Mus musculus: one gene and its partners. The protein of the gene in region 2 binds, or shares a complex with, the protein of the main gene of each other region. Links are inferred from orthologs where the notes say so. Each region holds a gene or a part of one and is shown on either strand. Other genes may lie near its edges.

Evidence for each region.
Region 1: the proteins of Gnaq (region 2) and Plcb3 are in contact, whole or in part, in a cryo-EM structure (PDB 8UQO), measured with the Homo sapiens proteins. The link is inferred for Mus musculus from reciprocal best matches to the Homo sapiens genes GNAQ and PLCB3. Residues at the interface, in NP_002063.2 of Homo sapiens: Pro185, Thr186, Thr187, Ile189, Glu191, Pro193, Arg202, Gln209, Arg210, Ser211, Glu212, Arg213, Arg214, Lys215, Trp216, Ile217, His218, Val240, Glu241, Glu245, Glu249, Glu250, Ala253, Leu254, Arg256, Thr257, Ile258, Thr260, Tyr261; in NP_000923.1 of Homo sapiens: Pro257, Arg258, Leu259, Asn260, Glu261, Val262, Leu263, Arg707, Asp709, Lys710, Ile719, Asp721, Gly722, Ile723, Val724, Ala725, Ser845, Asp846, Tyr847, Ile848, Pro849, His852, Tyr855, Ala856, Ala858, Leu859, Ile860, Asn861, Pro862, Ile863.
Region 3: the proteins of Gnaq (region 2) and F2rl1 are in contact, whole or in part, in a cryo-EM structure (PDB 9D0A), measured with the Homo sapiens proteins. The link is inferred for Mus musculus from reciprocal best matches to the Homo sapiens genes GNAQ and F2RL1. Residues at the interface, in NP_002063.2 of Homo sapiens: Arg37, Ile323, Tyr325, Asp346, Ile348, Leu349, Gln350, Asn352, Leu353, Glu355, Tyr356, Asn357, Leu358, Val359; in NP_005233.4 of Homo sapiens: His108, Pro109, Ala110, Met114, Gln172, Arg173, Val176, Ile177, Pro180, Met181, Gly182, His183, Ser184, Arg185, Met265, Met268, Leu269, Met274, Asp275, Asn277, Lys280, Lys281, Arg284, Ala285, Leu288, Ile289, Tyr344, Tyr345, Val347, Ser348.
Region 4: the proteins of Gnaq (region 2) and Casr are in contact, whole or in part, in a cryo-EM structure (PDB 8SZG), measured with the Homo sapiens proteins. The link is inferred for Mus musculus from reciprocal best matches to the Homo sapiens genes GNAQ and CASR. Residues at the interface, in NP_002063.2 of Homo sapiens: His63, Leu196, Gln197, Ser198, Ile323, Tyr325, Ile337, Arg338, Phe339, Phe341, Ala342, Lys345, Asp346, Ile348, Leu349, Gln350, Leu351, Asn352, Leu353, Glu355, Tyr356, Leu358, Val359; in NP_000379.3 of Homo sapiens: Lys644, Ala645, Asn647, Arg701, Val702, Leu704, Val705, Phe706, Ala708, Lys709, Ile710, Pro711, Thr712, Phe714, Phe801, Arg873, Thr876, Ala877, His879, Ala880, Phe881, Val883, Ala884, Arg886, Ala887, Thr888, Leu889.

The regions. Positions count from the first base shown.
Region 1 is NC_000085.6:6,951,290-6,957,879, reverse strand, and holds the end of Plcb3 (1-phosphatidylinositol 4,5-bisphosphate phosphodiesterase beta-3), read left to right. Parts: intron 1-161; coding exon 162-253; intron 254-1,579; coding exon 1,580-1,733; intron 1,734-1,821; coding exon 1,822-1,857; intron 1,858-1,973; coding exon 1,974-2,166; intron 2,167-2,522; coding exon 2,523-2,673; intron 2,674-2,779; coding exon 2,780-2,856; intron 2,857-2,949; coding exon 2,950-3,039; intron 3,040-3,117; coding exon 3,118-3,175; intron 3,176-3,412; coding exon 3,413-3,499; intron 3,500-3,580; coding exon 3,581-3,784; 3' UTR 3,785-4,167; downstream 4,168-6,590. Other genes in the region: Bad (bcl2-associated agonist of cell death), read right to left, coding at 6,356-6,481. UniProt on the Homo sapiens protein: Catalyzes the production of the second messenger molecules diacylglycerol (DAG) and inositol 1,4,5-trisphosphate (IP3).
Region 2 is NC_000085.6:16,129,980-16,137,208, forward strand, and holds the start of Gnaq (guanine nucleotide-binding protein G(q) subunit alpha), read left to right. Parts: upstream 1-2,704; 5' UTR 2,705-3,346; coding exon 3,347-3,482; intron 3,483-7,229.
Region 3 is NC_000079.6:95,510,368-95,517,077, forward strand, and holds the end of F2rl1 (proteinase-activated receptor 2 precursor), read right to left. Parts: intron 3,915-6,710; coding exon 2,806-3,914; 3' UTR 1,351-2,805; downstream 1-1,350. UniProt on the Homo sapiens protein: Receptor for trypsin and trypsin-like enzymes coupled to G proteins.
Region 4 is NC_000082.6:36,557,151-36,564,540, reverse strand, and holds the start of Casr (extracellular calcium-sensing receptor precursor), read left to right. Parts: upstream 1-2,406; 5' UTR 2,407-2,687; intron 2,688-2,738; exon of another isoform or gene 2,739-3,111; intron 3,112-7,390. UniProt on the Homo sapiens protein: G-protein-coupled receptor that senses changes in the extracellular concentration of calcium ions and plays a key role in maintaining calcium homeostasis.

The DNA of each region.
Region 1 (6,590 bases), about 9.2 Mb from region 2:
TGGGTTCGGCGGAGCTCAGGCGGGTGGGGACTGGGCTTGGGCATGACTGATTTAGGTGCCCCAGTTCAAGTGGGATCAGACTTCCCACCCTTGGAGCCCTGAGCTGGCAGAAAGTGTGGCCTGGGCTTTGGTCTGAAGACTGGCCCTTCTACTTCCTCTAGACTATGCGGAGGCCTTGATTAACCCCATCAAGCACGTAAGCCTAATGGACCAGCGGGCCAAGCAACTAGCCGCTCTCATTGGGGAGAGTGAGGTGAGTGGGCAGGACTAGGCCCACCTTGACATTGAACAGCTCTTCCACAGCTACCCCTAGCTACCAACCCTGCCATCTGATGCCTTTCTCCAGACTCTGTTGTTAAGTGTCTTATTGCAGAGCCTAGTTTCACGTCTCTCAGCCTGCCCCATGCCTGGGAAGCCTGCTCCTTTTCTGGGTTCTTTTGTCTCACTCCAACCTAGAAATGAAGTGAAGTGGCTATTGCTGCCAGCCCTAGTGTGAGGTCAGTCACATCCTTGGCTTACTGTCCTGTCCCTCACAGAGATGGGACACTGAGGCTATGGGAAGTGGCTCAGCACCACACAGCCTGGCTGGGCCTTTGGCCTGTTTTCAGCCCCTAAAGCTTGCCCTTTCTGCCATGTGGTACTGTCAGGGGATTTTAGATAGCTTACAGTGGGCAGAAGGGCTGTAGATTTTTGCTTTTGTGTGTAAACATGTTGGTTTGTGTGCACATATGTGTGTGTGTGGTTTTCCAGAGACACACTCTACCTGATTTTCTGAGATAGGGTCTCTCATTGAACCAGACTGGCTGGCCAGTGACCTCAGAGAGCCCCCTATCTTTGCCCACCCAAGCAGTGGGGTTATAGGCATGAGGTGATCCAAGCAAAGGCCCTCAAACATTTATGGTAGGTACTTTACCAATCAGTTCCAACCCCTTACTTCTTCTCCCATGCTGGATAAGGATGGAGTCCATGGTCTTAAGCAAGCCAGGCAAATGCTCTACCACTGAGCTATACCCTCGGCTCACTTATGGACTCTTGAAAGAGGACATTCCCATTTGTGATGATTTGGGTTGTGTCTAGACAGGGTCAAAGCATTGGGTATGCACACACTGGGGTACTGGAAGCCAGGGAAGCCATGAAGAGATAGTGGCTTCAGTGGGAAGGCGCCAGGAGCAGAGGTTCAGCCACATGTCCTGACCCAGTCCCCATGGGGCCTGTGGCCGCCAGGAAAGAGCTGACTGCAATTAGGGCTGTGAGGAGCTGTTAGTCGAAGAGACTGGTGCCCGCTCTGCACTGGCTTCCTTTGCTGATTAAATCAGAAGCTAAGCATCCAAGAGGAGGACAAACCACCAGGCGGGCGGGCGGGAGGGAGGGAGGGGCGCAGAGGAAGGCCCACGGAGCGGGGCCAGGCTTCTCCAAGAAGCATCTGCTCTAGGAACTCAGAGCCTTCCTGATGGCTTGGGCAAGGGTCTAGGGTGCCTGTTGTTCTCATTGTGTAGGCAGAGAGAGCTGGAAGGGGCATAGGGCATAGAGGAGGTGGAAGGATGAAGAGAACATTTTTTGAAAGAGTTTTCTCTTACAGGCTCAGGCCAGCACAGAGACATATCAGGAGACCCCGTGTCAACAGCCAGGGTCACAGCTCCCCTCCAACCCCACACCTAACCCACTGGATGCCTCACCTCGCTGGCCCCCCGGTCCTACCACTTCCTCCACTAGCTCCTCCCTCAGTAGCCCAGGTAAGGGGCAGCCTGTGCTAGGGGTGGGCCACGGGGAGCCACCCGCAGCTGGATCCCACAGCTTCTCACCACAGTCTCTGCTCTCCAGGGCAGCGAGATGATTTGATTGCCAGCATCCTCTCTGGTAAGGGGCACAGCCTGATCTGGGGTAGGGCCACCTGGTAGGCATCTGCCCCACCCAGCTCAGCCATGCCTGGCCCACCCCAACAGCTAACCTGCCTCCTTTGCTCCGCCTTATAGAGGTGACCCCTACACCTCTAGAGGAGCTCAGAAGCCACAAGGCTATGGTGAAGCTACGGAGCCGGCAGGATCGAGACCTGCGGGAGTTGCATAAGAAGCACCAGCGCAAGGCTGTGGCCCTCACCCGCCGCCTTCTGGATGGCCTGGCCCAGGCCAGGGCTGAGGGGAAGTGCCGGCCCTCCCCCAGTGCCCTGTGAGTGCCCTGCAGCCTGTTGCCACCTGTGTTGTGTGCTGACAGGAATATCAGAGGGAGGCGTGCCTGTGAGTCTCCAGGCTGGGTGGTCATGCTCAGATGGCAGGAAGGTGGAGGCAGGTTCCCATGCCGGGCCCTCACTCTTCCCTGGGAGTGACACCTCTTCTGAGGTCTCTGGCCAGGAATCCATCAGCTGTGTGAAGTGTGAAGCTAACGGGACAGCTGCTGGCCCTTGCTAGGCCTCCTGATTTGCATAGCATGGCTCACCTAGCTGGTGCCTGCTGCTCTGCTGGCATGAGCTCTGCCCTAACTGTCCTCCTCTACCGGAGACCTGGCACTGAGAAGGTTCCCTATAGGGGCAAGGCCACCAACTCGGAGGACGTGAAGGAGGAAGAGGAGGCCAAACAGTATCGAGAGTTCCAGAACCGACAAGTACAGAGCCTGTTGGAGCTGAGGGAAGCCCAGGCAGATGTGGAGACCAAGCGGAAGCTGGAGCATCTACGACAGGTGAGGGACAGGTGAGGGGCACGTGGTACAGGCGACGAGAGCCAGCTTCCTGGGTAGCTCTGCCGTCAGCCCCATGTTACCTGCTGGCTGCTGCCTGCCTCCCCAGGCTCATCAGCGGCTCAAGGAGGTTGTCCTGGATACACACACAACACAGTTCAAGAGGCTGAAGGAGCTGAATGAAAGGTACTGACAGATAGAAGGTCCTGGGTGAGGGTGGGGGACTCTGGTGACCAGAGTCCAGCCTCTGACTCCCCCTGCTAATCTGTGCTGCTCCAGGGAGAAGAAGGAACTCCAGAAGATCCTGGACAGGAAGCGCAACAACAGCATCTCAGAGGCCAAGACAAGGGAGAAACACAAGAAGGAGGTGTAAGTGTGATGGGAGCCACTGAGTGAGGGGAGGCCGGGACAGAGCCTGGCCCTGAGCTGTCCCTTTTACTTCTGCAGGGAACTGACAGAGATTAATCGGCGGCACATCACTGAGTCGGTAAACTCCATCAGACGGGTGAGTGAGCCCCACCTCCCCTCCTTCACCAGCAGGAACTCAGCTTTTCAGTGCCCACCTTGGTGCCACATTTTTTCTCCAAAAGGCTCCTAATGCCTTTCCTCCGGGGACTGTACCAACTGCCCCTGGTCCCTGCGTCATATCCAACACCTTGGGAGCCCTGATATCCCTCTGCCCCAGTGACCCCCGCCCCAGGCCTTGCCCTTCCCTCAGCTGAACTCTTGCCCGCCTTTACAGCTGGAAGAGGCCCAGAAGCAGCGCCATGAACGCCTGGTGGCAGGGCAACAGCAAGTCCTCCAGCAGCTAGAGGAAGAGGAACCCAAGGTGAGGCCTGGAGGAGGCGCACAGGCAGGTAGCAGGGGAGCTGGGCAGCCTGGCCCCTCTGGGACACTCATCCTCTTGTAGCTGCTGGCCCAGCTGACCCAGGAGTGTCAGGAACAGCGAGAGAGGTTGCCCCAGGAGATCCGTCGGTGCCTGCTGGGCGAGACAGCAGAGGGACTGGGGGACGGCCCCCTGGTGGCCTGTGCCAGCAATGGTCATGCACCTGGGAGTGGTGGGCACCTGTCCAGCGCTGACTCGGAGAGCCAGGAGGAGAACACCCAGCTTTGAACTGGCTGAGCAAGAGGTGGCCACAAGTCTGGGTGGGCACTGGGCTATGGGTAGAAGACACTAATACTTTGGGTTTTTTTTAACCTTTTATCTTTAGAAATTTTATTTTTTTAAAATCTGAGGCAAATGCCTCACACTAACTCTAACTCCCTGCATCTTCCTGGGACCTCTTGGTCCTCAGCCTCCCCTTCTAACTTCAGGCCTAGGGAAAGGGCTAGGGCTTGTACCCCATAACATTCACCTAAGATAGGTACTCCCCGATTCCCAAGGAGCAGCTAGTGGAACCCTGGAGTTCTGGGTAGTAGAAAGCAACCCTTTATATTTGGGGAGTTTTGTTTGTTTGTTTGTTTGTTTTTTACATGAATAAAAGTGGACTTCAGGGACCCTGTGTACAGTGTAGTTTGGATGAAAACACTCTGGGCTCTAGTTCTGGTACTGCCATTTTTCTGGGGCCTCAGTCTCCTCCTCTGTAAAATGGGGTTATGCCATTGTGGTCAGATTTCTATCTATTTCAAGGTTTGAACTTGGCTGCCTTGCCTAAGGTCTGTGGTGACCTTAGTCCCTGTCAGAGGTAGCTTCTGGCCTTCCAACATCTGTCCCGAGCCCCTAAGTTTCCCAAACCCATTAATCTCTTTTCCCTCAGCCTTTCCCCATCTCTCTTTGTTCAGGCTCAGACCCTGCTTTAGGAAGCCTTCCCTACTCCCCACCCCTTCCTGTTGCCTGATATGACCCAAGCACCCAGCATCTTCTACCAGGGCTGCTGAGGGCCCCACTAAGGATTGAAGCTGAATTTTCAGATTAGTGGGAAGGGTCCATAGCTCTTAAGAGAGAAAGGAACTTGATAGTCTTAAGGGCTATTGCTGGCAGGGCTAGGATACTCTGCTGATGCCCTGTGGCCCTCTCATCCCTATGAGGGAGATGTTTTGCCTGTTTTACAGATATGGAAACAGGCCCCGAATGGAAGATGCATTTACTGGGCCATAGCTAAGTGGAGACCTGCTGGAAGGCAGGATGGCCTGCGTGTTAGCTCTGTGCTATATGGCCTTCACCAGCCGGAGGACATGCTCTGAGCCTGGGACCAGCCAGGAACACCAGAGACCCTGTGGCAAGAGAATGGGCCAAGCTCTGCAGCTGGGGCAGGCTGGCACTCCTTCAAGGCCTCTCCTAGCTTCCTGGCCGGTGGGGGACTGGCTGCTCCCCCCTCGGAGGAAGGCAGCCTCTTATCTGGGCTTATCTCCTGCCAATGAAGTGTTTGCTTTGCTTTGTTTTTGTTGCAGCCCCAGGCAAACAGATCGGGTAGGAAAGCCAGAGAAACTGGGTGGCCTGGGTTGGGCTTCCCAGGGCTAAGGCCTCAGCTCTCCCTGAGATTCCTGCCATTGCCCAAGTCACCTTCCTCAGCTGTCAGTCAGTCCGTGTCAAGTTTCCAGATCTGCCACTTTTCCGGATCCCATGTCCTATATCGCTGACTGGCTGACCTCCATTTTCCCAAACACTCCATGTGGGTTGGGCCCTCAAAAAACAAACTAAGTCCCAAGATCCTGGTGTGTCCATCTGCAGAGAGTGTCAGTTCCAGACATAGCCTCACCTTCAAGTCTGACCTACTCCTTGAGGCCCTGTTGTGGGGCCACCCCCTCCCATGTTCCGGGAAGCAAAGAGTTGTGGCGCAACTTATCTGCATATCCAGCGCAAAGCACTAGCCTGGGCTATGGGGCGCCAATAAATCTCTGAACGGAGCTCTGGGCCCTGCTCCAGGTCCCTGTGAGAAGCTTCTACGTTCCCTAGCGATCAGTCTGCCGCCCCGCGCCGCCCCGCCCCACGTGTCTTGCCAGGTCCCTGAGCTGCGCTGGCCCCAGGCCGGTCAAACAGTAGCTGCTCACAAGGACTGACCCAAATAGGAGCAAATGACCCCCCTCCCGCCTGCCCCCCGGGAGCCGCGACATGGTTTGCAGAACGCTAAATTCCGGCGGCCGGTTGGACTGCGGCTCCCAATTACCATATTAGAGATAAGGGGCTGGCAGTCCCAAGGGTCTAGCCACGCTCCTCTTCCCCACCCAAGCCAAGCAGCCCGACTCCGCGGGTTGCCTCTTCTTCCTCTCAGTCCTTAGAGCTTGTTTCTTCCTCCGGTAAAACGAGTCTCTCTTAAAACTATCAGGGATAGAGATCCGGATTGCGGAACCCCAAACGAAGGATAGAGGCGCGGCGGCACATGCGCAGGCTTTATTATAAAGCACGTTTCTCGCGACCTCGGGTCCCCAGTTATGACAGGACAGCACCCAGACCCCCAACTTAGCACAGGCACCCGAGGGCAGTCCAGAACAGGAGAGGGAAAACAGCCACTTCCGGAGGCTTAGGGGGTGGGGTGCGTGGAAAACTTTGAAACTCCAAACAGGAGCCACCCCTCCGTGGCTATTGCACGCACCGGAAGGGACTCAAGCTGTACGTCAGCTCTTCTCCCTGTTAAAGGGACACAGCGATCCTCTTTTTTTTTCCTAAGGCCTCGAAAGACTTCCGCCCACACCCAATATGGCGGGCGACGGGAGCGGGTAGAGTTCCGGGATGTGGAGCAGAAGATCACTGGGAGGGGGTGGAGCCTCCTTTGCCCAAGTTTCGATCCCACCAGGACTGGATAATGCGCGTCCAGCCGGCGCTTTGTCGCATCTGTGTTGCAGTGCCTGCGCTCTTTGGGCGAGGAAGTCCCTTCAGGGAAGGAGGAGGAAAGAGTGAGCCTCATTCTGGCATCCCGAATCAGGTCCCCACCACCAGCTTGCTCTGCACTGGGCGGTCAGAGACACGGGATGATGCGTGT
Region 2 (7,229 bases):
TTCTTTCTTTCTTTCTTTCTTTCTTTCTTTCTTTCTTTCTTTCTTTCTTTCTTTCTTTCTTCTCAGGTCTCTGAAGGCTGGGCAATAAATTGGGGTGTGTGGGGTGGGTAGGCTTCTGAACTGGGACACCGCAAGGGAGATAAGAGTCTGTTTTCTCTGAAGTTCAATGCTTGTAGGATTTTGTGGTTTTGCCTTTCAGCCTTACGGTAATTGGCCTCGAGTTCTCAGAATGGCTTATCAACCCACAGTATGTCTCCAGTGATTTTGATTTGGAATTGTTATTTTAAAGTGGTGTACGTTTACGGTAGAGATTTTCTTTGTTCCTTTCTTCCTTTTTTTCTTCCCTCCCTCTTTTCCTTGCTTCCCCACAGGGTATCTCCTTCAGTAGGCCAGACTGCTATTCCAGATAAGACTGTGTGCTCGTACACCGAGCTAAGCCTATATGTTCTTTAGGGTACATTGAAATGCTTTTTACCTTTACCCCAATTTTTGTACAAATCAACTCCAGTTTTTTCTTCTGTATCCGTCCAGAGCTGCACCATGCCTTAAGACCACATGCCTATAGAGTTTGAGGACATGCTGTAGGCCCCGGGTGCTCCTCACTGCATCTTTACTGTATTTAAGCAGTTAATCCCTGCTTGTTGATTTAATGAACTGGAATTTTGTAACATGAGCCCTGTTCGGTTGCATAATTTAGAGTCTATTCTTCTAGAGCACACTCAACACCACTGTGAGTTTCTGTATGGACTCCATTTGTTTGATGTAAGTCATAGGGACACTTGCTTAGCAAATGCTTTCCAGATCCATCAAAGGTTTATGCTTGGAATTTTCTCTTCCTGTTTCCCTCTTGATGTCCTTATATAACTTTGTCCTGTGCATTGCTGGCATTCCTTACTTCCTGATTTCTTTCCAGTGAGTGATACGTTGATTTTTTTTTTTTTTTTTGTCAATTTAAATATCTGTACCAGGGCATGTCCCTGGGGCTGAGACAGAAGTGACAAACAAAGAGGTCAGTTAAGCAAAATATATTACTGACACTTTAAAGGCACAATTTGTCTCAGGGGCTCCTTAGGAAACCAGACATGAAATGTTGATCGTTTTGTTTTCCAGCTTGTTGTGTCTCTCTAGGACACACACACACACACCCCACCCCCACCCCCACGAGGGGGGGCTGGGTATTACTTGCAATTCTTGCCCAATTCTTCTATTTTACATTTCTGCCTTGGACTCTGAATCTTTAGTATCTAAATATTCATTTTCACAGCTAGTCTACACCAGCTCTGATGGTATTCATATAAAAGGGGTGAGAGGTTCACCTTCTTTGCTTCTTTGCTTCTTTGGCAAGGTATCTTTTTTAAAAGCAGAGTATTACATACAGACTTTACGTCCACAACTCCATCTGAGTCCTGGCATAGAGGCTGAATGTATGCATGCAGTGTATCACGGGGGTGGGGGGGTGGGGGTGGGGGTGGGGGTGGGGGTGGGGGATGGGGTGGGGTGGTGGTGGTGGTGGTGGAGAATAAGGCAAACCAGAGGAGAGACCTTGAAGTCCAAGACTTGTTTCATTCTTAAGTTGCAGCAATGGGTATGATCTTACATTGCAGCCCAGATCAACAGGAGCAGTTTATGAAAAGCATGAAATGTGGAGGCGCCCACTTCTATCTATAAAGTCAGGAAAAATAGTACGATTCTCCTCTTGATGTTTGAGACACACTGAATTGAATGAACCTTTTTTTTTCCCCAATACAACCTTGAATGAACAAGATATTTTCTATTTATTAGTAAACCACCTCAAATTAGAAGTATAAAAACCAAATAGAATTTTGCTCCAATGATACTAGTTTCTTCACTTTCTCCTATTTTATTCTCTCTCCCTCCCCCTTTTCTTTGCTACAAGGTCTCATACTGCTCAGGAAGCAATTCTCCTGCCTCAGCCTGTGGAGTGTGGAGTTTATGGGTGTGAGCCACCATATCTGTCTCTTTCATTTCATTCTGTACTACTTGGCGTTCTCCCAGAAGTCATCCTTAACTGTCACGGTGTAGAAGGGTCAATCCTACATTACCAGACTGTTTAACGTAGTGTGCTGGTAGGAAAACAGAAACCACCTCAGTGACCCGAAAAGTTGGAACGGATCAGGAGGCTCTTGGAAACTTGGGCAGCTTCTTTTTTTCTCTTTAGGATTCAGATTCCTATCTGGAGATAAGGAGGACAGTTCCGTCCACAGATCCCTCAGTAACCCCCAGAGAGCCAGTGACAATCCTTTCTCTTCCCTAGTAAAGAGCATCCCATCTTCTAAGATGGATCTTGGGTCAGAGGCCACTCGAGGCAGCTTCTTCCCAATGGCGTTTTAGAAATAGGAAAGGGCAGCCCGGCTGCAGAGAGGCCCGGAGCGCAGCGCGTGGGCTCCCGGCAGGGCTCCCGCAGCGCCAGCGGCCAGAGGGCAGGCCGAGGCCGCCATATTCTCGCCGACCACGCCCCGGCAGCCCAGCGGCAGCCGAAGGTCGGTGTCCGCCTGCCGGACCCGCTCCAACGGCCGTGACCGCCGCGCCGGAGCTCGCACAGAGGGAGGCGGCCGGCGAGCGGGGCGGGCAGTCGGGGGCGGGGCGAGGAGAGCGCGAGCTGTCCAGGAGGGGCCGCGGTCCCGCCCCTTGCGCTGTGCCCGCCCCCTGCGCCCGTCCTCCTCCTCCTCCTCCCGCCGCCGCCGCCCCCTCCCGGATCTGTGCTCCAGTTCAGAGAAAGGAGAAAATGTGTGTGTGTGGCGAGGGGGAGGGCGAGCACTGAGCAGCCGCGGCGCGCCTGGCAATCGGGCCGGGTGGGCGTCCGGCGGAGGCGGGGGCGGAGGCGGGGAGCGCGCGGCGGCCGGCTGCCCGGTTTGCGAGCGAGCCGAGTGGGCGCGGGCAGGCCGAGGGCGCCCGGAGCCGAGTCAGGCGGCGGCGGCGGCGGCGGCGAGGAGCGGGCGCGCCGGGCGCGCTGAGCCGTCGGCGGTCGCTCGCTGCGGGGCCGCCTCGGTGGATGAGCTCGGGCCGCTGGGCGCACAGCCTTGGGCAGCGTCGGCGGCGGCGCCTGGAGGGCCGCGCGCTCTCCGAGAAGGCGGCGTGTGAGCGCGGCGGGGCGCGGCGGCCTTTCCTCGCGCGTCCCAGGCTCCCGGCCCCGCTCGTTCCCGGCCCGCCTGGGCTGCGGGCCCGGCCGCCTCCTTTACCGCGGCTCCCCTGAGCTCGTCCCTGACGCGCGCCCGGGCGGCGGGGCTCCGCGGCCGCCGCTGCCTCGGGGGAGCGAGGGCGGAGGGCGTGTGTGCGCGCGTGTGAGCAGGGCGCCGGCGGGGCTGCAGCGAGGCACTTCGGAAGAATGACTCTGGAGTCCATCATGGCGTGCTGCCTGAGCGAGGAGGCCAAGGAAGCCCGGAGGATCAACGACGAGATCGAGCGGCAGCTGCGCAGGGACAAGCGCGACGCCCGCCGGGAGCTCAAGCTGCTGCTGCTGGGTGAGTGCGGCCCTTGGGCCCCGGTACCCCCCGCCCCGGCTCGCCGCTGCCCTCCCCACGCGCGTCCCCGGCCGGCACCCGCACCCGCACCCGCGCGCGCGCACCCAGGGGCCGAGGGCCGGGGCTCCCGGGCGCGGATCCGCGGCGTGCGCCTTTGGTGTCAGCTAGGGCCGTGCTCGGTGCACAGCGTCTGCGGGACGGCTGAGCGTCCGCGCGAGCGGCGCGGGTGGGCAATGGCGTGCAGTGCGGTGGTCGGCCAGCGTCCATTGTGGCGCGTTGTGGGGTGGAGAGGGAAGGGTGGAAACGGGGAGCAGACCCCGGTCTGGATTCTGCTAGGAAAGGTGCTGAGGAAGCCTTGGCTGGCGCTCCAATAAACCCGGGTTAACGTACTGGGCAGGGGCGGGGCGGGAAGACTAGCCCAAATGTGCTATACTGTAGCCACCAGGCCACTGACAGGAGTGACCCCAGAGAGTTGCATGGCCAGTGGATGGTGACAGGCGTCTCTATGAACCATTCCTTCCGGATAAAGATGAAGGATCCGGGAGTGTTGTACTGTGTGGTTGTTGACAGCAGACGGGTGTCTTTTGTTTAATGAGGCGACCCAGATGTATGCCTGAATTCACAGCAGTTTCTACTGGAAACCAGCGCAGCCTCTCAGTTACTCTCCTGGAAACAAACAGAAACCTTTTGTTTAAAACGGACATTTTAGTATCTTGCCATCTGGGCTCCAAGAAAAAACGGGAAGAGTGAGAGAAAATTTCCCTCTGATCGCGTTTAAAAAAACAAAACAAAACAAAACAACAACCCAACATTCTCCCTTAACATGAAATTAGCAAGAAAATGCTATTTTCAAATAGGAGCTATATTGATTATTATCTCCGAGAGAGTGTTCGGAATCAAGCGATCAGGGTCCATGTACAAGCTAGCATGACATAACTATTGCTATTGTGGTAGGAAGCAAGAACTGCTTTGCAGGAACAGGCCTGAAAAATGTCTGCACTTGTGTTTATTTGTTACCGCTTCACAAACATTTCTGTAAGAAAAGAATGTTGCATTGTTGGGATTTGAGAAGACACCCCCCCCCCCCCCGTTTTTTTCTTTTCATTTTTCTTTTTTTTGCTATCTGGAGCATTCCATGTGCTGGCTCCAAGAACCCATTACCTTGGGGCCTGGCTTGCTTATCGTCAGGAGCAAAATATCATAATCACACATGGTTCCCAATGCTGTTCCCTTCCCTTAACCAAGGTCTTTATATTGAAATCCAGTTAGGTAAATGTGCACATATAATGTGTTCATAAAGACTAGAAGGCAAGGGGCTGACTAGAAAGATGGGTTTCAGGGGGAATAAGCCAGAGCAATGGGGAAACTGGGTAAGCCTGTCCACCCTCATCATTTCTGTTTCTTCTCAAGGCTGAAAATGGAATGTCTTATCTTTTTTTTTTTTTTTTAATTGAGAAGGGAGAAGCAAGGGCAAGTGGGATAAATATATGTTGATCCAGTATACAATTAAGAGGAAAGACACGTGTTTTAGAGATTTTTCTCTTAGACCTGGCTTTTAATTTTCCTTTGTTTATAGTCTTCATATGTTTGTGTTTAGCTAGGAACAGGGCATTTGAGGTCTCATTGACCAAACTTATTTGCCTGAAATTTGACAGCTCCAGGTTTCCCAGCAGCTATGAGTTAGGTTTGTCAGAGGGCCTAGGTTTACATGCCTGAGAGGGGAATACACTTAGAGAGATGCTTAATTACATGCTGTGTATTTTAATAATATACCATGCTTTAAAAAACGAACGTGGAAGTGATTTCCCGAGGGGGAAACCCCCCCAGTTCTCCAGCTAAGAAAGTGGTAGCTGTAGGTGTGTGGCGGCCCTCCCGCACTGATTCTAGATGGAGCAGGGTTTAACCTGGCCCCACCTCACCCGTCAATGACAGGCTGTTGGAGCTGGTAGGAAACCTGCCACTTACTCAGCACCTACATCCACGAGCAACATTTAAAAACCATACAGTTCTCAGTCAGAAGCGGGCGCCCTGGACATCCTTAGCAACCACGGCTGCCCTCAGCCTGGAGGGGCTTCTTTCCCAAGTGCGGTATCCACACTGTTTGTGTAGTCATGATAGACATTAAGGGTAGACTTCTCTCTCTCTGTCTGGGTATGACTTTAGCAGGAAAATGAGTGTTGAATTGAACAAGGGAGCATCTGGGGGAGGGGCTCCTTCTTGGTGTGCTGCCTTGTGAGTAGTCTTCATTTCCTAGTTCTTTCATTCATTTTACCAACAGCCATCCAGAGGAGATCATAGAATGTATGTCATCACATTTTAAAGTTCTTTTTACATCTTTGATCTCTTATTTACATGGAGGGATCATGCTTGTGTTGAAGTTCTGTGTAAAATTGTTTTCAAAGTAAGTATTAACTCAGGGTTGACACTTAATGGGAAGGGTTTGTTCCACAGGGGTGCAATATATTGGTCACCTAATTATTTACTTATTAAAATATAGACGCATCACAAAACTGGTTATCTGACTAGATAATCAAGTGTGCCTGTAAAATCTGGGCTCTTTTGAGTCATTATCCATCAGTTAGGCCAGTGTGTTCCACATTTATTCTACAGAGCTTACACATTTTGATCTCATTCTTGAAGAATGATCTCTGACATTTATTTCATCACAGTCGAGAGTTTCATTTTAACTTAGTAACTTTTGTCTTATTCTATTTAGTTCCCTCATATTAGTGTTTGTTTTCTTTGACACCTCAAAGAAAACTTTGTATTCTATATAGGATATAAAGAAGATATTTGATACTCAACATTTACTAGGTATAGAAGTATATATTGTCTTGCCTATAAAATTGAATATCATGAATATTCATTAGATATTTTTGTTGGTGGTACATAGATCACAGCATTTAATTACTGATTTGTCTTCAAGTCTCTGAGGACCAAATGGCTTTAGGTCGTAGATATTCACTGGGAAATTTTATTCAGTTTCTTAAAGATATCTCGTCCCTCCTCATTGACCTGATCTTTTTACATGTGTTTAAAATCTTTACTCTGTAGACCTTAGTCATCAAATTAGCAATCCCTTTTTATTGATGGATTCTTTCTATTGAAAGGAGACAAGTTTAGGTCAGGCTTAACTGGAATATGCATTTGGTTTTTGAAAGGAATAAAATCGACATTTCAGCCTTTTTATATATTCCTTTCTGCAAACTCCTGAGGGTAAGATTGTGTTCTTTTGTTCACTTCTACATCCCAGCTTCTAAGACAGATCTGGAAGAATGGTCTTAATCAGTACTTGCTGATAATCATACGCTTCTTTGAGCCATGAGTTAGATGTGCATCCCAGCAGGGTGTGTATTGTGCTGGGTATGTTAGAATGGGAGTAGCATTTGATACTAGGAATCGAACCCAGAATCTCACACTTGCTAGGCAAGTGCTCCAACATGGAGCCCCCGCTCTCTTTTTACTTTTTGAGACAAGGCTCACTAAGATGTCAAGGGAAGCTTCCGATTTGTGTCCTACTTTATCCTCTTGACCAGTTGAGGTCATAGGCATGCACCATTAGCTCAGAGTCAGCCATGCTTATAGAATGTCAGTGTGAGGAAGACCTGTCTGTTCTATACTTTGGTTACTGCTTATACAGGCTAGTTCACACCTTTCATTCTATGTATGCATTTCTCCCATTACGCATTTGTCATAGTGAATTTTTAATATTCCTTCTCTGATTATCAAAACGATTTTTGTGATTAA
Region 3 (6,710 bases), on a different chromosome or scaffold from region 2:
TTTTAAGATTTAGTTGTTTTGGGCTGGTGAGATGGCTCAGTGGGTAAGAGCACCCGACTGCTTTTCCAAAGGTCCAGAGTTCAAATCCCAGCAACCACATGGTGGCTCACAACCATCTGTAACAGGATCTGATGCCCTCTTCTGGAGTGTCTGAAGACAGCTACAGTGTACTTACATATAATAATAAATAAAAATCTTTAAAAAAAAAAAATTAAAAAAAAAAGATTTAGTTGTTTTTATTTAATGTGTGTGTGTTTGTCCTTCGTGTATGTGTGTGTGTGTGTCTGTGTGTGTGTGTGAGGGAGAGAGAGAGAGAGAGAGAGAGAGAGAGAGAGAGAGAGAGAGAGCCAGCCACATGCACGCTGAATGCCTCCAGTGGTCAGAGAGACCATCAAGGGCCCTGGAACCGGAGTTAAGGATGGTTTGTAAGCCATTACTACCATGGTGCTTAGAACTGCTGTCTAGAACAGCAGAACTGAACCAAGGTCCTCTGGAAAAGAAACAAATGCTCTTAACTAGGGAGCCATCTCTCCAGGCCCCCTAGACACACACCTTTTCAGCTGACCGTTCTATTCCAGAAATACAGCCTTCACAAACATTCTCAAAGATCCAGCTGTGATGGTGCATACATACAGTTAATCCCAGCACTCGGGAGGCAGAGGCAAGCAGATCTCTAGGAGTTGAACGGGTCAGCCTGGTGTACATAGAGAGTTTCAGGGCAATATAGTGAAACCCGTCTAAATAAAAGTAAAGTAAATGCCAATGATGCCTACACACAGATGTACAAAGCAATAATGCTGAAATAGTCAAAAAGAAAAAAAAATCACGTGAGTTAGCCTAAGTCAAGGTGCCATCCAGGAGGGAATATATTCATTGTAATATATCCAGACTATTAAAGGGTCTATAACCTTTAAAAATGGATGACCACGTTGTAGAAATACACAGAAAACAATTTTAGACATAACAATTAACGAAAGGTAGTTGTGGCAGAACAACAGGAACTACACTTTATTTGAAAAACTAGTGTGAGAAAAAGTGTAAATTCACAAGGCCAGGTGTAGATTCCTAGTGTTGTGTGTGTGTGTGTGTGTGTGTGTGTGTGTGTGTGTGTGTGTGTGTGTGAGTGGGGGGTGGGAGGGGCTGAAGGAAGGAAGGAAGGAAGGAAAGAAGGAAGGAAGGAAGGAAGGAAGGAAGGGGTGGAGTGAGCATCACACTGTTTAAAATTGAAAGAAAGAAAGAAAAGAACAGACAGGGTGGGGTGGGCGTCAGATCACAATGTCTAGAACAGCAGGATTCCCCTCTCTTCCTCCCCTCCCCCCTTCATACAAACACACAGCCTGAAAGAACTTGTTTTTTTTTTTTTTAAAGTTCATGCATTATTTATTTATAAAGCATTCATATAACAAGGTCATTTTTTTAAAGCCACAAATACAGGCAGTATATAAAGTAAGCCTGGAGCCATGTACTCCTGCAATGGCCCCTTGTTTCAGATCTTCCTCAAACAGATGAGAAGACGTTAATTCCATTATTGGACAAATTAGTGAACAAAACTGATAACAGTGAACAAAACTGATAATAAATATTCCAATGATCTGTTTTTATAAAATACTAACTGGTAGGTTAAAGCAGACAGGGGACTATCTGGTGGGGAGGGAAACGGCAAAGGGGGGGGAGGGGAAGGGCCCTGCTTCACGGGAAGGACTATGATCGAGGATGAGGGAAAACTGACACTACAGTAATGCTTTATCATGAAAATGTCTTAAGTTCACATGATGTAGTTAACAATTAAGTTAGAAAAAAACCTAAGCAGTATTTGTAGTTGGCCCAAGTTAAAAAACCAAAAAACCAAAAATTTTATTTACATTTTTAAGAGCCTCATCTTCTTTTTCTTGACTAATAAACACACAAAATTACAACAAAGTAATAAAGGAACTGAAAATCCCAATAAACCAATAGGCAAATTCATCATAAACTGACCAAAAAAAGAGGCTCAAAACACTGCTGTTGGTTTTTCTTTGCCAACATTACAGTGGTGCCCTGGCAAGCAGAAGCAGGCTCAGCTCCATGGTTCTGTGTCTGCAGTCATCACTAAGGTTTGTAGAGCCTCACCCCCACCCCCACCCCCACCCTCACCCCCATCGTGTCTGAGCTCCCAGGGTTACTGACGCTAAGGGACCTGCACATTGATCAAGATCCCCAATAGTTCTGATGAAATGGTGTGAGAATGTAACTCCAGCCATCTGAATCCTATTGTCCAGCAAGGCCACTGTTAGCCGGTTAGGATGCCGCCAGGAGCCTCATTCACTCCTCATTCACTCCTCTCTCAAGTCTGTAAAGTCAATCAACTGGACTGAAGCTCTACCAGGGCCTCAGGTCCTGAACAAGGCCGAGACGAACTCCAGATGGAAAAGGAAGCATTTCAGAGAGTCTTAGCCTTCTTGCCAGGTGTAGTTTTTGTTTGGTTGGTTTTTTTTGCAAGTCACTGACCCTCCATCTTCTCTTCACTTTCACAAAACAAGCTCCTCTCAGTTCGTTTCAGTTTCTGATACTGATGCTTTTCATCAGAGTGGAAGACTGTTCTCATGCAAAGGAGGAGGCTTCTGGCAATCCTGGGGAGAGCTGCATGCTTGTGATTGGTGCAGAGACAGGCAGCTTGGATAGGAAATGACAGCCCCATGCATGTTGGTGCATCCCTACCACGCACTCACACACGGGTGCACACACACACACACACACACACACACACACACACACACACCATCATCATCATCATCATCAAGCAGGCTTGACATCCTCAGGTACAGCTCAGTAGGAGGTTTTAACACTGGTTGAGCTTGAAGAGTAGGAGCCGGACTTCCTGGAGAACTTGTTGGAGCTGAGCGAGATTTGCATGCGATTCACAGTGCGGACACTTCGGCAGAGGAGCGCGTTTCTGGCGTGATCCCTGAAATCTTTTGAGACAAAGTAATAGACAAAGGGGTCTATGCAGCTGTTGAGGGTCGACAGGCAGAGGGCGACAAGGTAGAGGGCGTAGACGTGGCTCTGCCTCTGGGTTTTGATTAGGAAATAATGCACTACGAGCAGAAGGTTGCTAGGAGCAAAGCAGATGAAGTACATGGCCAGCACGGTGATGATGAGTCGGATAGCCCTCTGCCTTTTCTTCTCTGAGTGTTCATCCATAGCAGAAGAGCGGAGCGTCTTGATCATGAGCACGTAGGCAGATGCAGTAAGGAGGGCCGGGAACAGGAAGACTCCAATGGCCAGTGAGAGGAAGTAATTGAACATGTCCCCCACCAATACCTCCTCAGGCAGCACATCGTGACAGGTGGTGATGTTCAATGCTGGAATGTAGATGGTCTGCTTCATGACATACAAAGGGATGGTGACCAGAAAAATCAGGAGCCAGATTGCCAAGGAGACGCCAACGGCGATGTTTGCCTTCTTCCTGGGGTGTCCCATGGGGTTCACGATCACCCAGTACCTCTGCACGCTGAGGCAGGTCATGAAGAGGATGGAGCAATACATGTTACCATAGAAAAAGCCAATGAGCACCTTGCACAGGGCCTCCCCGTAGACCCAGTTGTTGCCATGTAGGTGGTAGGAGATCTTCAGGGGGAACCAGATGACAGAGAGGAGGTCGGCCAAGGCCAGGTTGGCCATGTAAATCACGGCGGGGTGTTTCTTCTTCGTTCGGAAAAGGAAGATCCAGAGGGCCATGCCATTACTGGGCAAACCAATCACAAACACAATAATGTAGACGACCGGAAGAAAGACCGTGGTCAGCTTCCCGGTGAGGATGGACGCAGAGAACTCATCGATGGAAAAGCCTGGTTCTACCGGAACCCCTTTCCCAGTGATTGGAGGCTGGGTTTCTAATCTGCCAATAAGACTTCTTCCTTTACTGTTGTTGCGTCCTGTACAAAGAAAGCGGAGCAGAATCATTACTGAGATAAATGGTCCAACAGTAAGGCTGCTGTGTTTTAAATGGAACATTTCAGATGAACACAGACAGATGTCATTAGAGTATTGCAGACAATATTCTCTTTCAGTGACCGACCGTCCTACACAGGGCAGTTGGTGACGGTTGAAGTCTAATTCTTGTGTGTGCTGGCAAGTATTTTACCACTGAGCTACATCTTCGCCCCGACAATGGTATTTCATTAACAGTGAGAGTTTTGGGTTCCGTATAGGACAGCGACTTCTAGAAATCTTAAGACTGACAGGGTTTCATTTTATTTTCTTTAAGTAGCTATACTCATTAGTTCTTTTATTTGATCACACAACCACCAGCAGTCTTTGATTGGTCAGTTAGTAAAGACAGATAGATGGATGATAGATAGATAGATAGATAGATAGATAGATAGATAGATAGATAGATAGATAGATAGATAGATCAGTCTAGGATTGTGTGGTAACTCTTCCCGAGTCTTTGGTGAGTAAGGCAGCCTTGTCTTGCCATCAGCTGTCTTGGTTCTCATTTTCTATCCTACTCTGGCCTTAAGCCAAGATTCAACCTAGCCGTCAACCACACCCTGCCCCAGGGGCCAGCCTAGGGAGATTCCAGAACCAGGAGGCATTCCCTTGTCCGCCCACAAGAAATACTATAATGGGTAGGCATTCCCCACCTCTCTGCTGGCTTCATAAACATCCTCCCACTGAGCTCAGTTGGCAGGCAAGCCTTTTAGCATCAGGACCAAATGTGCTCTGACTTTTGAGCGTGTAACAGCAAGCTTTAACTTAGGATGCTTCCTTCATACCATGAATTGAACATTCTAAACCACAAATAACCCTGGGCGTGGTAGGTTGTGCCTATAGTCTCAGCTATTTGGAAAGCTGAGGTGAATGGACTGTTTTCACTTAAGGAATCTGAGACCAGCCTGGGTGACATAGTGAGATTCCATCCAAAGCAAAGCGAAACAGAACAACCCTACCAAGCAGTGACGGGCAAGCCCAGTCTTCATCCTGCCCCATCCTGTATTCCCTCACTGACCTGAAGGAGGAAGGGTGAACGCTAAGGAATTTAACTTTAATGATGAGACTGAGGCCTCCACCGTCTGGAAACACCTGAACATTGTTCACGTTGACAAGGAAGACAGTATACCTCTCCTGACTTTCTCTAATATATTGTGTGCTCAGTTATCTGATCCGCTTCTGGTTCCAGACTCAGGTTCTACAGGACCGTTCGCTTCTGTAGGCTTCACCACGTTGCGCTGACACAGGGGTAATGGGAGGAGCACTGGAGGTTACAGAGATCAGCAGTTCCCTTTCCACCCACTGTAGAAAAATAAAGATGCTCCCTACCCAAAAAAGAAGGTGTTCAAGTCCTAATCCCCAGTAGACAAGGGTCTTTGCAACCCTAAGGTACGATCTTAACAACACTATCCAGGTTATCCAGTCAGGCCCTCGGTCCAATGACAATGGTCTTTTAACAAGACATAGGGAAGCTGGGGACAGAAAAGGAGAAAACAGCAGAGTAAACAACATGATGGACAATGGGAACAAAGGCTGGCACTGTGCCAAGGGGCACCAAAGATGGCAGCACCCAACCGGATGCTGGAGATGGGCAGATTCTCTTTCCCCACCACTTTCATTCCTGACCCCTCACCTCAGAACCCAGAGAGTAGCATCTGTTGTTTTATAGCTCTGCTCATCACAGTGGCCTTAGGAAAATAAAAGCATTTGACGTAAACATATATATTGTTTCTATTTCTTCTATAACTGTCCAAAAAAAAAAGCACTTTTTAAAAATTAAAATGGGGGCAGAGAGCTGGAGAGATGGTTCAGCGGTTAAGAGCACTGGTTCTTTCAGAGGTCCTTAGTTCAATTCCCAACAACCGCATGGTGGCTCGTGACCATCTGTAATGGGATCTGATGCTCTTTCTGGTCTGCAGATGTATATGCAACAGAGCACTCATATATTAAATAAGATTAAAAGAAAAAATTAAAACAAGGGCTGGAGAGAGGGCTCATCGGTTAAGAGGACTAGCTGCTCTTCCAGAGGTCCTGAATTCAATTCTCAGCAACAACATGGTGGCTCACAGCCATCTATAATAAGTTCTGATGTCCTCTTCTGGCATACAGGTGCCATGCAGATAGACTACTCATTCATAAAATACATAAATCACTTAACAATTTTAAAACAAAGCCAGGTGTAGCGGCATATGCCTTTAGTATGGGACTTTGGAGGCAGAGGCAAATAGACCTCTATGATTTTGAGGCCAGCTTGATAGAATTATAGAATTCCAGGCCAGCCAGGGCTATATAGAGCTCCCATCTCTAGTTAATTAATTAAAAAATTAAAACAAATATTCCTAAGGAGATGGGGAATGTAGCTCAATTGGTAGAGTGTTTGCCTATTGTGTACCAGACACTGTAACCCCAAGACTCAGGAGGTAGAGGCAGGATAATTGTAAATCCAAGGGTGCCTGCAGCTACATAGTGAGTTTGAGGCCAGCCTGGGATACATGTCTCAAGAAAGATTATTCCTGAATATTACAATGTTCTTCAGATACTGAATTAGGTAACTCCATGAAGAATATGTTCTGCACGGTAACCCAGTACTTAGTACATAGATCCATAATGGAATATTGCACAAAATACCCTTCTATACAGAATGCATGTTGGTTCTCTGGAGTGTTTTTTTAAGCCAGAACCAGGACTGACTAACATTGAAGCAGCTCAAGGAAACAGTAATGATGTGTTTGCAGACT
Region 4 (7,390 bases), on a different chromosome or scaffold from region 2:
AACTTTCCTTCCATCTTTGTCCTCAAAGGGAGCTAACATAAGTGACTCTAAAGTTCGTCTTTCTAGAGCCAGGCCCCTGGATAACTCTGCTGCCAAGACTGGGATTCTCCTGGCTGGCAGGAACTTAACGCCTCGCCCAACATAGTGTTATTGAGCAGCATCGGAAACATCTCAGGTGGTAGAGGCAGATAGATCTCTGTTAGTTCGAGGCCAGCCTGGTCTACAGAGCGGGTGAGTTCCAGGACAGCCAGGGAAACTCTGTCTCAGATAAACAAAACAAACAGAGAGAGAGAGAGAGAGAGAGAGAGAGAGAGAGAGAGAGAGACATGCGCATGCGCACACTCCTGTACACAGCAGCCCTTGTTAGACAATACCATTCACTATGGCTGCTTCAGCCATAGCTTCTGAATACTGGGCTCAGTGGAATGTAGGGCAGTGTTTTCCAAATTTCAAGTATCAGTAATCCTTTCCATAGGTCATTTCAATGACTCTCCTACTTATGTAAACTTAGCTCAAAATTACCACAAAAGAAATAGGATTGAAAAGTGAAGAAAAAGTGACGATATTAAATTCTACTTAGGAGCTGTTGCCTAGCAAAGGCTCTGAGGGAGAGTCAAGCTCTGTTGTTAAATCAAAAGATTAGCAAACCTTAGGGAGGTGTAAAGATAAATAGCACAAAAATCATCCTTCCTCCTTGACCTAATCCACAGGAACAGAATTAGAAAAGATGCAACTTCTTTGACTGGTAAGACACTGTTCTTAGAGTCAGGGTCCCACGCTACTCAAAACCAAGCCCTGTGGAGGATGCATATTCATGCACGCTGTTCAGGTGGCCACGCCCTTCACGTATTCAAGCTGACTGAGGGTAAGCCTCAACTCTACAGCTTCATAGCTCTTCCATCCTCCATACCGTCACCTCCACGGGCTCCAGTCTCCCATGTAAAATGGGCATAGCAATTGCTCCTGGGAGTGTCACTTAACCAAACCCCAATTCAAACATTATTGGAGAGAATTAATACAACCTGATCATCTTGGGGTCTCTCTCTCAGCCGCTGGGTTGAATTATGCTGTCTGGTCCAAGCAACCATATTGTTGAGATTCCATGGTTGATTTCTCCCTGTTGTGGTTAGGAAACACTATCTCATACCAAACATCATGGGTCCCTGCCTCTTACAATCTTCCTCCCCTCCCCGATCTTTCATAATTTCCCATGAGCCTTAGGTGCAGTTGTTTTATGGCAGGTGTATCAGTTAGGGTTCTCCATAGTCCCTTATTTTCTGTATTGTGTAATGAACAGTCTCTATCTGTTGGGAAAAAACTCCCTCCCCCCTTTATTTTTTAAAAAAGAACTACACTTATCTGTAGAAACATGTCTGCCATGATATGAGTTCCCCTCTCAAACCTAAGACTTCTCTAAGCACAAGTAGTTAGGTTTATGGTACCAGGCATGAACTCATCCCTATGGAGGGAGTCTTAGTTGATTAGACAATTGATGTTTATCCCCATGATAAAAGTACCATTATTGGACTACTATGGATGTCTGGCTGAAATACTCATTGTGGTTCATAGGAATAAACACTATCTGTTCTAAGAAGACTGGGAGGCACCGAAGTCTCCATGCTTGCATTGTAACGGTTGGGTAGGATTCCATTAAGCCACACTACCTTAAGTTCTTTAACCTATTTCCTATTGGCAGGTTCGGTGTTGTTCACTTGTTGCTTTTATTTTGGTGTGTGTGTGTGTGTGTGTGTGTGTGTGTGTGTGTGTACACATTCATGTGTGCTGGCCTTTCACCTTACTCCAGAACAATGTCTGTGGCTTTATAAACACGTTAGCGCCTTAAGGTCTCCCATTTTGATGTAGGAGTCCTGGGATTGCAGACACGCTATGCAGCAGGTTTCGTATGGATCCCAGGAGCTTGAACGTAGCTCTCCTCTGTGCTTGATGGGCATAGCTATAACGCCATTGTTTAAATATTATTATTTTATGTTGAAAATGAACCTGTTATATATATTTGCATCGCAACATTATTTTATTCTGGAAATTACTACAAAGTACTGCAAAAATTGTTTTGGCTGTTTCTATTTGTTTAGTTTGTGTTCGTGTGTTCGTGTGTTCGTGTGTGTGTGTGTGTGTGTGTGTGTGTGTGTGTGTGTGTGTTGGCTATCAAATTGCCTACACAAAGGAGTTGATAGGCTTTAGGGCTGAAAAGCAAATGCTGGGTTTCTACCAAATAAATTGATTTTTCCATTTCATTCAAGTATTATGATGAGTGGCCAGCGCTGAGCCAGAGCCTGAGCACAACTGTGAGCCAGGCTGGCCTCTCCTACCTTCAAGAAGCACACCCTGATGCTGGGGCAAAGCTTACCAGATCTCTGGGGTAGTGGAGGGAGGGGGCTGTTTGTGTACAGCCCGCTGAAGCAACGCTGGAGTCTAGCAGAACGCCTAAGAGTGTTTATTATACTGTGAGTTCTGGATCTTTACTAGGAAAAAAGTGCCCCATCCTCTGGCACAGTTGCCTTGTGATCCTCTTTCCATCTCCAGGGAGGAGCGGGAAGCGTGTGTGCTGCGGGGAAGGAGGGGGTTGTATCTTCCCAGACCAACAGCAGGAGCAGGATCGGAAGCCTGGGATGGCTAGAGCCTCATCGCAGACAGGAGGACTCCAGCGCTAGACCTCGGTCTCTCAGGTACCAAACCCGACAGGTGGCCTAGGGGGAGGGACGTCGCGCCCGCAGCGCCGGAGCGCACAGCTCAAAGGCTGACCTGAGAGATCGAGGGAGCCTGGGAGATTCCAGGCGGGCTAGGGCACGGACTGTAAGTGTATTTGGAGGGATTTGGGGGCCATAGACCCCAGGAAGCACGCAGGCGAGAGCAGGCAAGGGGCGGAGCCCCGAACCGGGCCACAGTGGCCGTCAGAGGGTCTGCTGGGAGGCAGTGGCTTGACCCAAGGCGAACAGGGAACTTTAGAGGGTAGCACGCTACTCAAACAACTTAACTTGACATCGCAAGCCCGGCAGACTGGTACTGCATCCTGAGCTCAGCATCCAGCTGGTCCTGGGGAAACAGGGCCAGCAGGTGTTCCTGTGGAAAGAGCCACGACAAGGACTCCAGGTAGGACTTGGGGACACCAGAAGTGCGGGCATAACGTACCCGAGTGGCAGAGGAGGCTTTGATGAGGTTTGGGGGCAGCGAACAGTAGCAGGTCAGACCTGGGAGCCCTGAACGCTGGGCTTCAGGGATAGCGGATCGGATGCCTACAAAGATGAATAGAGTTCACAGTAAAAAAAAAAAGTGGGGTGTGTCTTGTGCCTCCGGTTTATTTATCCCTGTGACAGTCAAAGAGAACTTTTCCCACTGACAAGGAGAGAGGTAGCTTTCTGGCGCGGGCGTGTGTGTGTGTGTGTGTGTGTGTGTGTGTGTGTGTGTGTGTGTGTGCGCGCGCGCGCTGCCCTACCAAAGTACTTGCCTCAGTGGCTCCAAATTAGGGTGTCTGGTCACCAGCCTCCATATTCCTTGGAGGTAAAAAAAAAAAAAAGTAAGTTGATGGAGTTATTGTTTTGATATTGTAGTTTTTGATTAACAACACACACGGTAAACTTGGAAATAACACCAATGCATATCTAGAGACCAGTTTCCTTTCTAACATGAGTTTACTCATTGTGCTTTCTCTCTTCAGTTCTGAGTCTTTTATCTCCCTCCTTCCTCTCTTTCTCAGTATTCTGAGAAAGAGGCATGCTGGGGAAGAGCTCCTAACAAGTTCCCACCCGTTCTTCTCCAGGATTCCTCAGTGCAGTAAAGTGGTGCGGTTCACTGTTGGGGGAGGTGAAGGAGGGCTGTCTTGCCAAACTCTCTGCCGCCTAGAATTCATTCCCCCTCCCATTTGGACTCCAGGCTCCAGGTTCCCAAAGTGGCATGCTTGGGGTGTTCCCTCTGGAGGACTTGGAAAAGTGAGCTTTTAAATTGGCCCTGTGAACAGGGCAAGGCTTTGTGATAGGCAGAGAAAAAAAGAAAACACAAAGGAAGAAATCAGGGAGACCAGGGAACAGTGAGGGAGCAGGAGACCAACATCTTTGAGAGCAGAGGAACCCCGGGCCAGCCCCTGTCATTCAGGAGCTGACCCTGGGGAGTTTTGCTAAGGGAACACATGTGGTCTTCATGCTGATAACTCACATCATCAACTCTTTTCCATAATCAACGAATCAAACCATGTTTGTAGATTAAGACAGAGTAATTGGTCTTATTTTTTTTTACCGGTATAGGAGGTTCTTTAGAAGCTGTGTAAACTGTTTAAAGTAACCTCCATCTATGCCAGTGTCCCTTGTTTTCCTCATTTTTCCTTTGTTGAACTGGATCCTGCAAAGTTCAGGCATTAGCTGTTCCCTCTCCTGCAGACTTAAGGATGACGTTGTAACTAGAGAATGGATTGGGCTGGGTGCAGGTGCAAGGCTGATGAGGGGGTAGTGCATGACTTATAAACAGAGACACAAAAATGTAAAAAACATCAGTATTCACTTAACGTGTTTGTAGAGCCTAGCTACACACCAGATCCTGGGAACAAGATGGTCAATAAGACCAGACAAGGAACCTGCCCTCCTGGTGCTTACAGATGCTTGGGGGAGGGCAGCTGTCAGTAAAATGATTATCGACTATGTAATTGCAAGCTAACATAAACCCTCTGAGGGAAAGACACAAAGTCCACTGTGGGTGTACATAGATGGGTCTGTGAGACTTGGGAAGGCTTTCCCAACAGAGCTCACTGACCCTGAGGTTCTAGGGTGATCAGGATGAAGAAATCTGATTTTTGAGGTGAGGTCAGACCGTTTTGATTAGGAATAGCATTTGGCTGCTGGTCACCAAACAGACTGGCTGCTATGAAACTTTTGTCCCTTGATGTGTGTCCACGTGCTGTTGGTGTTACCGGCGTGAGGGGAAAGAGTGTCTTGTCGTCATAGGCTGGCTGTGTTGTCTGTTGGCCGTGGTTTTTTTCATTGCTATAATTCTTGCTTTTGAATGAAATGTTCAGATTAACTTAACTCCTATGATTTCATTTTATTGTGTACCATAAAATGTACACTGCTGTATAAATGTGAATCATGCACCTTCCCATTGAGAAGGTAAATACGGAGATAATACTTCTGCTGCTTATGTGGTGACAGTTTGGCGTTATCACTGAATAGCATCCCAGGTTAGAATAGCTGTGGCAGGTGGACTGCAAATATTGCCCCTCTATCCCTAGCTACTGCTCTCATTGGAAGGATGTGTCACACACACACACACACACACCCTGGGAACTAATTCCTAGCCTTGTATACTCGAAGCTCCAACTCTGCCTTGAGCCACAGCTTCAGCTTGTGTATTTCAGAAGAGAGGGGTATTTAAAAGATTTAGAGTTTTAGTTACTATAGATTTTCATAACCAGCTTTTTAGTAAAGGCAAATATATTGTAACATATTAACAATTGTGGTGACGCTGTAAATGAATAAAAGTCCCACAATGTAAGGTCACAGCACAGATACTCTAGAAAGCCGTGTGCTTCACGTTCGTCCAACATAGGCTTTCATTTATTAAATGTGATCTGCAGTAACATTTCTATGTGCACAGAACCACGCTAACCATTGTGGGTAAGATGGATTAGAAAGCCACAGTCCCAGCATTTAAGGAGTCCATCCCTCCTCTTAGGGACAGAACTCGTATATACAGGTGGAGGTATCATGAGCAGGGAAGAGAGTGGTCAGTTCTACCAACCAAGGAGGAAGGCTCAGTTCATAAAGAAAGAGGCACCACTTGACTTGAATCTTGAAGGATGAGGTACCCCACCAGTTAAAGGAAGAGGAGAAAGATTTAAAGTGGCGAGAGGCAGGCAGGAAAACAAAACCCGTTGCTAACAAAACCCGAGGCCTGCAATAGCATGTCAATTCTAGGATTTGTCGGTGGTTCTAAACAAGGTAGAGAGAATAAAGGGTGCTTACATAGGGATTTGCATGAGTTCATTTAAAGATATCAAAACCACCCTGGTTATGATGACTGTATCCCAAACTATGGGGGCTGTGGCAGTGGCACTGAAAACAATCGATATTCAAATGCTTCTTCCATGCAGACCGAGGCACAGTACTCAGTGACTCATTGCGAGTGAGAGCGGAGAGAGAGAGAGGATGACCCCACTCTGCCGTGCCATCCAAGTCATCTTGCCTTAAACAAAGGGAATGTAGACATCAGGCAGGACTGGGAAACAGAAATCTGGGCAGTGCTTATATCAGAGAACTCCTTGGCTGAGCCCCCAAAAGCTACCTTTCTAACTTAGAAGACCTGGCAGCCTCTGTGCCCATGTGTAATATGGTATCGAGGGGCTGGAGAGATGTCTCTGTAGTTGGGAACACTTGCTGCTCTTGCAGAGGAACAGATTGCATCCACACGGAGGCTCACAACTGCCTGTACCTCTACTTCCAGGGTACCCAGTGCTCTCTTCTAGCCCCTGAGGCACCAGGCGTGCACATGATACACATATAGGCACTCGTACATATACATAAGATGGAAGTGAATCTTAAATAAAATAAGATCGAGAAGGCCTACTGATCCCCAATAAATAGAATCTCCTCCCCTCCCCGACCCCTGGCTTTAGCTCAAGTGTGTGAACATTTGAGTTCACCTACTGCTCAGTGCCATGAAGCATATATAGCCCTCAGTCATGCCTGGACTTTTACCCACCAATCTGACTGCCTTTTCTTCTCCCCTTATGTCTTCTTTTCTTATTTTTTTTTTTTTATTTTAATGAGACAGGGTCTCTCTACATAGCTCTGATTATCTTGGAACTCACTATACAGGCCAGGCTGGCCCCAGACTCCTAGAGCTGTGCCTACCTCTGCTTCCTGAGTGTTGGGGTTAAAGGCGTGCTCCACAACATGCAGCCCCCTTTTTTCTTAAGTGACTCCACAGTCTAACAGCACTGACTGAGATACTCACATGAGCTTGCTAAAATCAGCGAGAAGCTAGGTGTGGTGCTCACATCTGTAATCCCAGCGCTTGGGAAGCTGCAACAAAAGGATTGTCACTTGTCAGAAGCCAGTCTGAGCTTCAGTGAAAGACAATAGGTAGGTAGGTAGGTAGGTAGGTAGGTAGGTAGGTAGGTAGGTAGATAGATAATAGATGGATGGATAAATAGATGATAGATTGATGGATGGATAGATGAGTGATAGATGGATGGGTGGATGGATAGATGATAGGTAGATGATAGATAGGTAGATAGATAGGTAGATAGATAGATAGATAGATAGATAGATAGATAGATAGATAGATAGATAGATAGATAATAGATGGATGGATAGATATATAGATGATGGATTGGTGGATGAATAGCTAGATAGATGATAGCTAGATAGATGGATGGATAGAT